2 linked regions of the Cricetulus griseus genome follow. The protein of the gene in region 1 purifies or fractionates together with the protein of each later gene. This does not show direct contact. Links are inferred from orthologs where the notes say so. Each region holds a gene or a part of one and is shown in the gene's direction. Other genes may lie near its edges. The genes, in order: Rtn4 and NADH-cytochrome b5 reductase 3.

What was found.
Region 2: the proteins of Rtn4 (region 1) and NADH-cytochrome b5 reductase 3 purify together in Homo sapiens (affinity purification with mass spectrometry; 3 studies listed by BioGRID and IntAct, counting the BioPlex papers as one, with this or other methods). This does not show direct contact. The link is inferred for Cricetulus griseus from reciprocal best matches to the Homo sapiens genes RTN4 and CYB5R3.

The regions. Positions count from the first base shown.
Region 1 is NW_023276807.1:77,575,890-77,583,517, reverse strand, and holds the start of Rtn4 (reticulon-4), read left to right. Parts: upstream 1-2,743; 5' UTR 2,744-2,993; coding exon 2,994-3,558; intron 3,559-7,628. UniProt on the Homo sapiens protein: Required to induce the formation and stabilization of endoplasmic reticulum (ER) tubules. They regulate membrane morphogenesis in the ER by promoting tubular ER production.
Region 2 is NC_048595.1:380,061,275-380,068,570, reverse strand, and holds the start of NADH-cytochrome b5 reductase 3, read left to right. Parts: upstream 1-2,254; 5' UTR 2,255-2,389; coding exon 2,390-2,410; intron 2,411-7,296. UniProt on the Homo sapiens protein: Catalyzes the reduction of two molecules of cytochrome b5 using NADH as the electron donor.

The DNA.
Region 1 (7,628 bases):
ATTATTGGGTGGAAGAGTGAGAGGGGGAGAGAGAGAAATGGAAGAACAGAGCAGGGCACAGAGAGAGAGAGAGAGAGAGAGAGGGAGGGAGGGAGGGAGGGAGAGAGAGACAGAGAGAGAGAGAGAGAGAGAGGAGAGAGAGAGAGAGAGAGAGAGAGGAGAGAGAGAGAGAGAGACAGAGAGAGAGAGAAAGAGAGAGACAGAGAGAGAGAGAGAGAGAGAGAGAGAGAGAGAGAGAGAGAGAGAGGTCAACCACCGGGGAGAGAGAGGAGAATAATTCTGCGGGTTTATAAAGGGAAGGTCGCATGTGCACTGAGTCCCTACATAGCCCAGTAATGAGTGACATAGCCATGATGTGGCCACGAAACACAGGCCCTTTAAGCTGCCTAGATATCTGCCTGAACCTTTCAATGTCGACAGGAATACATCCATCCATCAAGGGGCATACAAGATACAAGGCAAATAGCCTTTCCACAAGGGGCATACAAGCTACAAGGCAAATAGCTTTTCCACAAAAGTTTAGGTATCAAACATCTTGCAACAGTATTTAATATTATAGAACTGGAATGGCCTATTTTCTGAGTAGTGACCTTTTAACTGGAATTACATCTGCTTTGTTTGGTGCTGATACAGAGTACACACCCAATGCATATTTTTGTAGGAATCAACAAAACAAAATAGAAACATAAAATGCATGTTTCAATTAATTTCTGTTGTGTAATGAATCACCTAAAAAAGGCAGTGGTTTAAAAAAAACAGTGATTCATTATTTTTTATTTATATTGGCTGTACATTCTGGGATGAACTCACATTTTTGAGAGAACAGCACCATGGCTGGAATAGTTAGGTGTCTTTTTCATGTGTCTCTCTTATTTTCCAGAATAAATACTGCCAGATGGTTTTAAAAGAACATTTCTTTAAAGATCTGTTTTATGTGTATGAGTGTTATGCTGTGTGCATGTATGTGTACCATGCAGGTGCCTTGCTCCTGAGGTCATAAGAGGGCTTTGGATAAGCTGGAACTGGAGTTATGGACAGTTGGGAATTACCATGTGTGTGTTGAAACTTGAACTCGGGCCCTCTGCAACAGCAATAAATGCTCTTAACTAGTCGTCTTTCTAGCTCCATTAAATTTTTATTATTGTTATTTTTTAAAGAGAGAGAGTGTGCGTGTCACGTGTACAGTTTCTGGAGAAGGCTATTAGAGGGTGAAGGAGCCCCTATAACTGAAGTTACAGTGATTATGAGCGGCTTGGGTGCTGGGAACAGAACTCAGATCCTGTGAAAAAGTTGAAGGTATTGCTGGGCCATTTCTCAAGTTCCTTCCTCCATCAATTATGTTTCAGTACTTAAATCTAGGGTAACCTTAATTTGTTGGGATTAAGAATTTGCTTAAAAAACCAACAATTTCTCCATGACAAACACATGTCTTAATCACTAGAATATGCATCTAAAGGTTCTACAAGCTGCTTCAAAAAGAATACAAGTGAATTTGATAATGGATTGCAGTATATTCAAGATATTATGAATGCCAACATAAAACCAATGTGAAGCAGAGATTACAACACTTCTTGTTATGAATTCTGGAGATGCAGTGTGTATTTTATTCACACAGCACACCTCATTTCGGTGCTCAGTACCTAAAGCAGCCAGTCATTAAAGTACACAGTGCACATGTAGATGGAACAATTGGAATACCGGCAATCCTCTCTCCAGGCCTCCAGAGTAGACATGCAGCCACTATTTTTGAAAGGTGTATCAGAAAGATAAAAGGACTCTCTGAACCTCTGGGTACTATTTCTTCTATGTTCTTCAACCATTTTCTCACTTGGGGTCGGGGGAAGTACATGGCGGGGGCGGGGATGGAGGAGGGGAATGGACAAGCTTTTCCAGCATGTCAAGCCACTGAGTGTAGTAGGGCTTCCTGACTCCCCGAAGCCTGACTCATCTGAGATGTTGACTCATCAGCCTAAGGTGACTGAAGAGCAGTCAACCAATTTTGCCTTCCATGGCATCTATTTCTACGTTCCTCCCGGTACCCCTTCTGGGTGACTCATTCTCCTAGCACTTTAAGAGTCCAGCAGAAAGCAAGCCCAAAAGCCCTCTTTGGAAGAGCATTCTAGCAGTGAGCCCCAGAGTCCCAGATAATCTTCCACAGCTGTTTTGCCTAGCTCATTCCAGGCCTGCAGTTTAGAAGGGGAGTGAACTTGAACTGTCAAAACAGTGTTTTTATATTTTTCCTTTCGAGGTGGTGGTAGTTATGATTTGGGAGCTTGTTTGAAAATAAACCTTTTATTTTAAAAATCTGTAGGGCCTACTTCAGTCTTATTAGTACCTTTCTCCACTGTCGTTTTCCTTTTCGGGGGCGGGGAGGACTTTCCACTCCTAGGTCCCCAGGATAACGCCCTTCAGCTGGTTTATTGGAAAACTCTCCAAATCCTGGGGCCGCGCCCATCCCCTTTCGCAGTACCCATAGACTAAAATCCAGCTGTAGGCAAGGCCAGGACCCCACCCCACTCCGCATCTACTAGAGGTAGGGGTGGAGCCTAGCTCCAAAACCCGCCCTCCGAACGTCGCCCGCAGGAGAGGAAGTGCGGCAGGCCCCGCCCGCTCCTTCTATTTCTATTGGACAGGCCTTCTGTCCATCTTCTCTATCCCGCAGCCCATTGGCTCTCTGTCTCCCGCGCCAGCCAGCCACCCCTCCCCGCCGGGAAGGTGAGTCACGCCAAACTGGGCGGGGAGTCTGCTGGCCTCTCTTCTTCGCTCGTCTGGGCGGCGGCGACTGCTGTAACTGGGGACGGGGCGGGTGGCGCATCTCGGGCGTGGAGGCAGGAGACGTCTCATTGTTCGGGGAGCCGTCGCCTCTGCAGGTTCCTCGCTCGTCCTGCCCGGCCCCTGTCAGTCCTGCCCAACCCCCACAACCGCCCGCGGCTGTGAGGAGAAGCGGCCCGGCAGCGGCAGTAGCTGCAGCATCATCTCGGACCGGCCCAGCCATGGAAGACCTAGACCAGTCGCCTCTGGTCTCCTCGACCGCGGACAGCCCGTCCCGGCCTCCTCCTCCTCCCGCCTTCAAGTACCAGTTCGTGACGGAGCCCGAGGACGAAGAGGACGAGGAGGAGGAGGAGGACGAGGAGGACGAGGACGAGGACCTGGAGGAGCTGGAGGTGCTGGAGAGGAAGCCGGCCGCCGGGCTGTCCGCCGCTCCGGTGCCACCCGCCGCCGCCGCGCCGTTGCTGGACTTGGGGAGCGACTCTGTGCCCCCGGCGCCCCGTGGGCCGCTGCTGGCCGCGCCCCCTGCTGCCCCTGAGCGGCAGCCGTCCTGGGAGCGGAGCCCCGCGGCTCCCGCGCAGTCCCTGCCTGCCGCTGCCGCAGTCCTGCCCTCCAAGCTCCCCGAGGACGACGAGCCTCCGGCGCGGCCTCCGCCTCCGCCCCCAGCCGGCGTGAGCCCCCTGGCTGAGCCCGCCGCGCCCCCTTCCACGCCGGCCGCGCCCAAGCGCAGGGGCTCGGGCTCAGTGGGTGAGTGTCGCGGCGCGCCAGCCCCCACGCCCCTCCCTCTTGGTATGTTGAGCCGGGGAGGGAAGGGGGGCGCGGGCAGGGCTGCCTCGGGACCCGAGGGGCTTTGTCTGCGAGCGGCAGGGCGATGGCGCCCCCGCAGGCGGGAGGAAGGCAGAAGGGTGGGGCGGCCGCGGAAGCCCGGGCGCCTTCATTGTCTGTCCGGGTTTCGGGGAGCACGTGCACCCCGCCAAGCCCCTAGTTCTTCCTTCTGGTCCCCATTCCATCGCTCTCCCGAAGGAGGCACAGCCACTATCGGCAGCTAGGTGTGTATCGAGGAACTAGGGTTGTGGATTCCTTGGGCTGGGCTGGCCTTGGATGTGGGAATGGGAAGGCTACGTACGGCGTCTAACCCTTTTATTTAAAGCAGGGGCCTTTGCCGACCGCCCTACAGTCTCTCCGAGGCTTGCCTTCCTGCCTGGCGTCGGGAGACCCTTGACACTGATCCCCTCCCCCTCTTACTGGTGGGGAATTGGTTGAGCTACTAACGTCTATACTGCGATCCAACTGCAGTGAAGGGAGAGCGCCTCCAGTGGCGTGGTTCCAGGAGAATTGGATAGCAGAGACTTTGGGTGAAGTTCTGCCCCCGCCCAGCTCATTTGGGTGTAATGTGGCAACTCCTCCATTGAGCCAGGGAAACGAGATCTGGGCATTGTGTTCCGATGGGGCGCAGTTCTCCAGGGCCTCTGTTGCACGGTAGAACAAATCTCCAAATGTTAATGTGCATCTCTCAGCCTTTAAATGTATCGCAATTGACTCTTAGAGAAAAGGCAAAATGGTTGACCATAAATAGGGGAAGCCTGTGGATTCCTGGTCAGGAATTGGTTTATTGAACTTGTGGTAGATTTTTCCTGACACATAATGAGATGTTTTGAAACAGTGTTTCAAATATTGGTTAGAAGTGCTAGTTTTTGGAAATACATGATTTAGATTGACAAAATACAGGTTTGTAGTTTTCCAGATATTGTATATTATGTTTTTAAATTTTTAAAAGGAACATTGTTTTAAAAATCTTACTGTTTTGGGACGTAGTGTTTTGCTAGCAGTAAGATCTTTCTTTGTAAGTTAATGTCAAAAATTAAGTGGTGTAACTGGGAAAATTTCACAACATTGCAAAATTTGGGAAGTGGTTCATTTCCTAGAAAAATACCATCCTGAGTGAGCTCACATTATTTTTTTTTCTTTCTTTTAATTGCAATTAACTCTCACAATGGGAAGAATGAACCAATAGGGATGTTTCTGGGTAATAATTCATTATGGGCATACTCCAAGGCACTATTCAAAAACAATATTTAGAAGGTAAAGACTACCATAGCTTGCCCATCTTTAACCTTTTTTTTTTTTTTTGAGGGAAACTAAAGTAGAAAAAATAAAGTACTGGAAGCATAATGATTGCCAAAACCACAAACCACAATTATCATCTTCTCTACCTGTATGGGAGCAAGAGAATAGCGCTATCCTGTGAACACTGAGGGAACTCAGGAAACGACAACATTTTTTTGAAATCTTGACTGCTAAAATATTAAGTTTAGAAGACAAAGGAGAGAATATTGCCTACTCAGGGATTTTGTACTAATTGTATTTATTTGGAAACTTCCATTTCTTTTATTGAACAGTGGATGTGGTCATTGATGGTTAATCATTTCAGTGCATCTAGATTTCTTACTGCACTGAAGAGATTGTTCATTGCCTGGTGCCATTACTGATCCCTACCATTGGTTACCAGGGACACTTTCTTAACCTTACTAAGCACTATTCTAGGCTGCTAAGATGTGGCAGTAAGCAAGACCCATGATTCCCTCATGGGAGGAATACACATAATAAACATAAAAAGGAGCTAAAAATGATAGTGTTATGATAACACTTTTAAGGAATGAGAATAACTGAAGCAGGGCTGTGGTGGTGCATGCCTTTAGTCCCAGCACTCAGGAGGCAGAGGCAGGCGGATCTCTGAGTTCGAGACTGGCCTGGTCTACAAGAGCTAGTTCCAGGATAGCCTCCAAAGCCACAGAAAAACCAAAGAGAGAGAGAGAGGGAGAGAGAGAAAGAGAGAGAGACACACACAGAGAGAGACAGACAGAGAGAGAGAATAACTGAAATATGTGAGGGCCTTTTAAAGTATGCTTGATGATAGGAAAAAGAACTGGAGGTTTGAGCAGCAGAGACAAATTGTGAATGAATTCTCAGGGCAAAGATTCCCCTAGGCAGGACTGAGCTTGTTTATCAAGTCCATTAGTGAGGAAACTGGTGGAGTGCAGAGGTGGTAACTGCACTCAGGTAATTCAGAGCCTCCCAGGCCGTGCTAAAATGTGTGGCTTTAAAAAATTGTTATTTTAGGAGTGCATTATGTTGTGATTTTGGAGCAAAAAAATGTTGTTTTGAAGGTTCAGAGGGAGAAAGTTAGTGAGAAAAAAGACAAGGATGTAAGAAATGTTGGCTACATGGTTAGAAATAAACTGGAAGAGGGGCTATAGATCTCTAGCACCTATGGGTTTAAGTTCGATGTTTACATTCATTTTTAGTTAATTCCGATTTCCTTTAGTTAAAATTTTTCTGATTGCTGTTGTGCAGAGTTATCTCTATTGTAACGTAGTGACTGATACTGAGACCTGCACCTTTCACTTGATGACCATTTGTCTTGGAGAAATATGAGACTTCCTGTTGGAAGAATGGTTCCTTTGTTCTAAGGAACCTTAGAGACTGATTTGAGAGAACAGCAAACATCAGTTAAGATGACTAAGCTGATCTCTAGACACATTGGTAATGGGAGTGACTGAAAGTGTGTGATAAATTGATTTGAATTCTGAAGGGTATTGAATGCAAAATAAAAGAATCTGGATTTTATTATCCTGCTTTAATATTCTGCCATTCAAAGCTGCTGCTATATCATGACACTAAAATTGTTCTTCAAAAAAAAGAATAGGGTGTGTCTGTGTACAGGTGTCAGGAATGAGGAGAGGGCATTTGTATTGAGTATAGTCTTTTGATGTTGGTACTCTGTGTTGTTTAGTTTCAAAAGAAAAGAGATTTGTTAAGCTTCTAGTTAAGGAGGTTTCAAGGCATGGCATTGCCATCAGCCTGGCTGTGGTAAAAACCTTATGGTAGGTGTTACCACGGTGGTGAGAGCCCATACTAGAGGCCCACAACTCCATGGTGGGACAGGAAATGTGGGAGGAGGCAGAAACCAGTCTAGGTCTTTTATGACCATCATTTTGTGAGAACTCAAGGTTACACTAGAACGACTTCCTTCATTCTTCCTGAATAGTCCTCCAAATCACAACCACTTCCTAGTAGGCTGGTCTCTTTTTTGACTCTGTGGCCCCATGTTCAATAGTGAAGCCAATACTGAGCCATCTCCAGCTTCCGCCACTTTTAATATTAATGTAAATTAATTTATTTTGTGACTTGGGATCCTTCTACCTCATCCTGGAATTACAGGGTTGGGCAGAAAGGCTTCTAGCTGTGATCCCCACTTCTTAAAAGTCCCATTATCTACTGACATAGCCACATGGGAGCCAAGCTTTCTACAGTATTTTTCTTTCAAAGAGCTGCTTTTATATGAATGAAATATGTATTTATGTGTACACATACAAAAAATTGTGAATAATGACAGAAAAATATCTTTTCCCCAGCCTTTCTTTGTTACTATTTTTTCCTTTGTTTTTCCCTTTGGAGTTGAGGGCTGAACCCAGGGTCCCTTCATCAGCTTTTCTAAGTTGGACTCTTGCAGATTGCACATATGTTAGAAGTTTCTTGGGTACCTGTCTAGAAGAATAGAGTTCTTCTGAGGAAAAGCATTCATACATGTGTATCTTTTTCACTTTGTACTAAAGCATCTACAGAGGTTTTGGTACACAGCTTAGTTGTAGAGCATTGCCTCAAGGATTCCAGGGCAGGGGGTTGATTTCCAGTATTGCAAAAAACAACAACAAAAAAATCAAACACACTACCACCCACACATCTCAAGTAATCAAACAAGACAATTAGCTGCAGAGGATTCCGTAAATATATGGCACAGTAATTCTCTCTGTCATCTCTCTGAATTCACTTTTCATGAGTTTAATGACTTGATGTCA
Region 2 (7,296 bases), on another chromosome or scaffold:
CTAGTCTGGGTGCTGTGCTAGTATGATGTGATATCCAGTTCCCTTTCCAGCTTCCATAGAAATATCAGGAGAGGTGCCAGGCAGTGGTGGCGCACGCCTTTGATCCCAGCACTTGCGAGGCAAAGAAATGTGGATCTCTGTGGGTTGGAGGCCAGCCTGGTCTACAAAGAAAGTTCCAGGACAGGCAGAGCTGTTACATAGAGAAACCTGTCTCCAAACACCTTTCCACTAGAAAAAAAGAAAAAATATTGCCAGTGGGTTGAAGTATGAGTGCAGACAGGTTCTGAAATAGCAGAGAGAGATGCCTCAGTAAGGGAAGTTGACTGTGACTTGTGACCCATGTTACCCTCAGGAAGAGAAACAACTATGAAGAAGTTCAGCCAGATAGAAGAGATGGACAGTCAATAATGACCCTAAGGAAGGCAACAGTGAGGACTGGGGAGATGGCACAAAGGATAAGAAGGAACAGTGCTTGCTATGCTGTGAGGACCACAGTTCTAGTCTCCAGTACACACTAGTCTCCAGGACACACTTCCCAGTCTACTTACTTTGAGGAGTAAGAAGAGCCCCCCCACATGTACACTCTTGCCCCCTTTGTGACAAGGTCTTACTCTAGAACAGACTGCCTTGGGTTTGTGATACTCATAAGTGCTGAGATTAAAAGGAGAACATACTTAACTGACGTCCGATCTGCCCTCATAGTCCAGGGTAGTAGCTGACCCTCCCATGTTTGTTTCTTTGAGGCAGGGTCTCATGAAGCATAGGCTAACCTCGATTCCGTGTGTAACCAAGGATAACCTTGAATCCCTTATCCTCCTGCCTCCCCCATCCAAATTCTGGAATTGCAGATCTGCCAGCCATAGTTCGATCTTTATTTATTCGTTTTATTATTTGCGACAGGGTTTCTGTGGTGGGTTGGATAAGAAGTGCCCCTTATAAGCCCGGGCATTTGAAGACTTGGTCCCAATTTGTGTTGCTATCCAGGGAGGGTTAGGAGATGTGGTCTTGCTGGAGGAAGTTCTGTCACACTGGGGGTGGGACCTGAGAGCTTATAAGACTGGCCCTACTTCCAGTTGTCTCTCTTGGTTATCTTTAAGGTCCAGAAGTTCTCTCTCAGCATCTGACTCCTCCGGCCATGCTTGCCTGCTGCTTGTGGCCATGCCTCCCCACCGTAATGGAGTCTTACCCCTCTGGAACTGTAAGCTAAAATAAACTCCTAAAGTTGCCTTTGGTCATGGTGTTTTATCACAGCAACAAAAAAGTAACTAATAAAGTCTTACTGTGTAGCCTGGAACTCACACGGATCCACCTGCCTCTTCTGGTATTGAATACATGGGTAGCCACGGCAAGCCCTCGTTCCCTATTTTATGCAGCAAGTCCCCTTCTCACTCCTGCCCTCTGAACTCTTATGCTCATCTGGGTCTCATATCACTGAGGGTCTCATATCACCTGTCTCAGCCTCTCCCACCTCCTGCCTCTCCCCACTTTATTCTCACCTCCAGGCTCTGCAGGTTCTGGATGCTTTCAAAGTGGTCTATCCTTCTCTATCTGGCCAGTACCACGCTGAAGAGTATTCCGAAATATCAGGGACGCATTCACTTCCCCACTATTGATCATTTATAGACTCTGTTCTGGGTTCCAGGCACACAGGGGGGCTGACTGCAGAGTCCTGATCTGGGGAAGCCCACAGTCCAGCACGATGGGTATGAGGACGCAGAGCATCGTGAATGAACAGGTGGGATAACTTAAGCGCTACAAAGACCACTCTACAGCATCGGGGTTCCTCCAGGGAGCGTAGGGTCAGAGGCGGCCTGCTTGAAGAGGTAACACCTGAACTTTAATCCGGACCTCAGTACAAATTGGGGAATTTGTTCAGGAGAGAGCAACCAGTTCAAAGGCTTGAAGTGGGGCAGGGGGCAGGGGCAGGGTTGTGGCCTGAACTCGGTGGCCAGCAGTGTTGGCAACACACCCTGGAGCGCGGATTTGAGACCCGGCCAGCACAGCTAGCTTCTGCAGGCCTCCAGGACCGAAGGTTCAGGATTTGAGAGCCTATCATGGGGGCGCCATCTTGTTCTCTTCAGCGGGACAAAACAGGTCCAGAGGCGACAAGTTACCGCCCGATGCCACACAGCCGCGCCACAGCAGGGGTCCCGCCGAGCCCCTTCCGTGCAGTGCTGTCAGCCACTCAGAACGCACTCCTATGTTCTCAGGACGGAAGTGGTGGGCGGGGAAACTGGTGGCTCCGCCCCGACCCGCCCACCATGGCGCTCCTGACTGGCTCCGCACAGCCGCCCCGCCTCCGAGGTGTTGCGGCTGGGGTGGGTCATTGGGGGAGCGGCCGGCCGAGTAGCGGGTGTAGAACCACGCAGCGACTGCCTTCTCCACCACCATGGGGTCCCAGCTGAGCACGGTAGGTGGTAGGGGTCTGGGGTCACCAGGCGCGCACCGTGGGGACACGAAACGATCCGGGACACCCAGCATCCGTTCAGGCACACTGCGCCCCACCCGGCCCCTTGCTTACCGTGACTCACACCCTGGCTAGTGGCCGCGCCATGCCGGCCCTGCCGCAGGCCAGAGAGGGACCCGGGTGCGGGGCGGACCTTGGGGGACCCTCCTGGGTGTGCACGACCGTGACAGGGAACGAGTGACGTGTGTGACCGCGTGAATGGACGTGACTTGTGAGAGCGAGAAAGTTGGAGCGACTGAGAATGTGAAATGCGTGTCTGTACGAGTGTACAGGTGAGGGTTTTGTGAACGTGCACTGTGACTGTAAGTGCACAGGTGTGTTCGTGGAGGAACCAATAGGTACGGTGTGTGTGTGTGTGTGTGTGTGTGTGTGTGTGTGTGTGTGTAGAAAATGAAGGTGTGAGTGTAAAGACACGCATGTGTGAATAGTGGACACGTGTGAGCTGGCATGGGCCAGAGTACTTTGGGGTGCATGTGTGCATGGGTGAAGTGTGTAGGATATCTCTAGATCAGGGATTGGGTGCATCTTCCTGCCATAAACAAGGCCATGATCTTTCATGCTGTCTGTCACTTTCTGCTGTCACACGCAGGCAGGCCTTGGCTATTCCTGTTACTCACATAGCTCTGCTGTCAATGAAGTATCACTTAGACTTGGCCACCTGTCACACAACTATGCTGTCACTAAAGTGTCATTAGACTTGGCCACTTAGGATGCTGGGTCCTTCTAATATTTATAAATCTGCCCTCTTGCTGCAACTCTGGGGGCCTCCTTGGCAACTCTGGAGACCACCTCCTCTCCCTTGTTTGTTTTTCTTTCCTTTTTTTTTGGATTTATTCATTTATTATGTATACATTGTTTTGCCTGCATGGCCAGAAGAGGGCACCAGATCTCATTACAGGGTCATGAGCCATTATGTGGTTGCTGGGAATTGAACTCAGGACCTTTGGAAAAGCAGGCAGTGCTCTTAATCAATGAGCCATCTCTCCAGACCCCCCTACCTCCCTGATTTCTTAAGAGTGTCCATATAAAGTGTGCCCAGCCCCAACTGCATAAACACATCCTGGCCTTGAGGTGCCCAGCTCTTTGGATGTGGGAAAGTTAGGCCAGCACCTATCTTGGAGGGTGTTCTCTCTTTGAGATCCAAGACTTTTGGTGAAGACAGGCAACTGTCTTCTTGGCCTGGCATTTGCTCTTGAGAGAGTGGCCAATTCAGGATGGTCCATTCAAGGAGCAGCCTGGCCCAAGGCAAGCCTGTGGCATCACTCCAAAGTGACATCACCCCACAATGACATTCTGACCAGTTTCCCCAAAGACTGCCCTTGGTCCCCTTGCTCTCCCCTGCTTTCCAGGCTCTCTTTACCTTCTGGACCATTTTTGGGGGGTTTAATCACAGCACCCCAGCACCTGGCTGTTGTATCCATTCATGTTAAGTCAACAGTAGTTCCTTGCAGACAGCAGATCTCTGTCTAATTATCAGAAAACCACCCCAACCTGGCCTCATTTGTCCAAGGGTTGCTTGCTATTGTCCTTGACTTATGGGACCAACTGGGGTCCCACTTAGTCCCCAGTGCCCACAGTATACACAATCCAGCCTCTTGTCCTGGAGGCCATGTGCTCTGTGGGTGGCTGCTGGGCATTGGGTGTACCAGATGTCTTATCTGGGCCATGCAGGCCCTGTGGGAGGCCTCCTGCATATATTGGGGGCTCCATCCCAGAGGATGGCACTCAAGGCAGCTCTCCAAGTGGAAAACATTGCATGCTTAGCCTGCTGATCTGGACTGCCTCTCTGCCTGTCCGTGAGTTCCAGCAAGCCCTGACAGACCTATTACTCTTGTAGATGAGGCCTTCCCACTGGCTCAGCAACCCTGAGCCTGGTTGGTAGTTTAGAATCAACAGAGGGTGGCTCAATTATCCACATGTTCCTTCTCCTGGGCTCCCTTCCCCCATAATCTGGAGTCCAGCCCAAAGCCCCCCTGCTTCTGGACTTCCTCTATTTCTTCCTACTTCCTCCCACTTAGAACAAGACCAGGAGGGCTGGTCACTTGATCTGGCAGGACAGCTGACGAGTGGGTGGTGGGCAGGTAAGTGAGTTGATGACTGGTTTATTGAAGCCCCAAGTTAGGGAGCTGGCACCTGGAGGGAGACCGGGACTGGGCTCTTTGCCCACTCTCTTGATTCAACCTGGACAGACTGGATTCCAGGGTCCTAGAGGGAAAAATGCCAGAGAGCAGCCAGGCAGGGTGTCCTTTGGGTGGAGAGCAGGCTGTGCACCTGTTAGCTATGATGGTAAGTGAGTTCAGGGCTCCCTCCTGGGTCCTGGCACCCAGTTTCCTTTATCCTTCTTTTCTTTCAGAGCAAGGAGAAGAAGGGGCTGGTTTCTTGGTACATGGTATGACCCGAGGGTCAAGGTCTGGGAAGCAGCTGCCCCCATGGACTTGTAACTAGTTGGAGTACGATGGTGTGTGTGTGTGTGTGTGTGTGTGTGTGTGTGTGTGTGTGTGTGTGTGTGTGTGTGTGTGTTCATACAGCTGGGAGGAACTGGGGCAGTGACTTGGCCTCAGCCAACTGCCTCCTGTTTACTTGGCCACTGCTGCTGGGACAAGGGTGGTGCCATGGAGGGATGGGGACACCTGTTTACTCTATGCCAGTGAGGATACAATACACCCAGCCTTCTGGTGAGTGAGTCTGGTTGAGCTTCTGACTTTAGAGATCAAGCATTCACTCTACTGCTCCTGGCCTTGGTTCAGCTCTCCTGTGACTGGGTCTGTCTCCCCTTCTAGTTTGAGCTCCTTGAGCATGGGGTTTAGGCCTGGACCGCACACATACACAGGAGTGCCTGCTGAAGCTGTTGGCTGAATGAATAGCAGCTAGGATGGCTTGTCACAGCTACCTTTCTAGATAGGAATTTTTTTGTTGTTTTTGTTTTTTGTTTTTGTTTTTGTTTTTCAAGACAGGGTTTCTCTGTGTAGTTTTGGAGCCTATCCTGGCACTTGCTCTGCAGACCAGGCTGGTCTCGAACTCACAGAGATCCGACTGCCTCTGCCTCCCAAGTGCTGGGATTAAAGGCATGTGACACCAATGCCCGACAGGAATTTTTATATTAGAAAAGGTTTACCTCTCACTTCTCAGTGTCCAGAAGTAACCCTGGACTCAGGCTTGTCACTGAAGCACCTGTTTTCTTACCTGAGTTGGGAGTGATGATAGCACCTCCCAGATGCAGCCTGAGGGTTGAGGTAAGAGGGCAGTGCCTGTTGGGAACAGCCAGGAGACTGGTCCTGGCTCCTGAAACCCGTACCTTCTGAGCATGCTCCAGGGCTAGGGGCAGATGGTCTGGCTCCCTCCATAGCCTGTGCTAAGCCTAAGGTCTGTAAGGGAAATAGAATAGACTGAACCCTTCTCTCATTAGGGAGCAGTCTTGGCTTTTGTCCTGGTTCTGGAACTTTCTAGACAACACAAGAAGCCAGAGAAACCTGAAGGATCAGGAGAGAAGGATGTTGTTGTCCTTTCGGTAATTGCACAGATATTTGCTGAGTGCCTCCTGCACCAAGTGCTGGGATAGTGGTGACCAAGCAACCCTAAGTTACCTGGAGACAGGAGAGGTGGACCATTCTGAACCCAAGGCTGGTGGAGGGACTGTGTGGGGACCCTAGCTTATGTTCAGGGACCTACCCAGAGTCCTGACACAGGAGTGTCTACAAAGACACTGCCCTCAAAACTGTCCAGCATTGGTGGGTTTAGGATGAGTGAGGATTGTTGGTTGGCCCACACATGGAACCAAATCTGAACTCCATGTTGGACCTCTGTGAGCCTCCTTTGTTAAATGGGGATGTGGCAACAGCTGCACTTCTGTGTTAGTCACTTTCCCATTGTTGTGATAAAGCATCATGACCAGGCAACTTAAGGAAGAGTTTGTTTTGGCTCATGGTTTCAGAGAGCTAGAGTCCATCATGGCAGGGAAGGCACGGCAGCAGACAGGAAGCTGGGGAATCACATCTCAACCACACACAGGAAGCAGAGATCACTTGTCTGTCCCCAGTGATGTACTTCCTCCAAAGGCTATACCTCCTAAAGGTTCTAGGATGTCACTAAACAGCACCATGAACTGGGAAGCAAATGTTTGAATCCATGAGCCTATGGGGGACATTCCCCATTCATGCTACAACAGGAGCCCACGGTAGAGGGTCAGGAACAATCCAGGTGTGTGGCAGCTCTGGGAGGCCAGCTGCAGGCCAAGGGAACTCCAGCTGGCGAACCTGACTGTGTACTCAGAACCCTGCTGGGGGAGATAAAACGGGGCACACCAAGCATAGGTCAGATGGGTGGAGTCATTGGTACAGGGCTCTCAACAGTGGTGGTTTCTGGATATAGTTTTGCTATATGCCATGGAACCATCTAGCAGAAAAAAATCTCCAGAATAATCCCCATCCCCAGAGAGCTTACAGAGAAGTTGAGGCTATGAAAAGTCACCAAGGGCCTGGTTAGTACGCGTGGCTCCTCAGGAAAGACTTAATATTTGAGTTGGATTCTGAAAGATTCATAAGAGAAGCTAGTTAGATGCATCTAGAGGCAGGCACTGGGGGCAAGAAAGGTGTGTCAAGGATGGAGCGAGGTAAGTTGTGGAGGGAGCAGGGAGGGGAGGCCCGTGTTGGAGCCACAGAACAGGTGCATTGAAGGTTGGTGGTTAGGAGCACCAGTGAGTGTTGGTGGGAGTGGAGCAGCATGCTGGATGGGGAAGCTGGGGTTGGAAATATGCTTGGGCCTTCTATAGGGGCATGGTATCTGGGTCTGGGCTGTGGACTGTGTTGTGGGCACAGTAGGGCCTGTCCCCA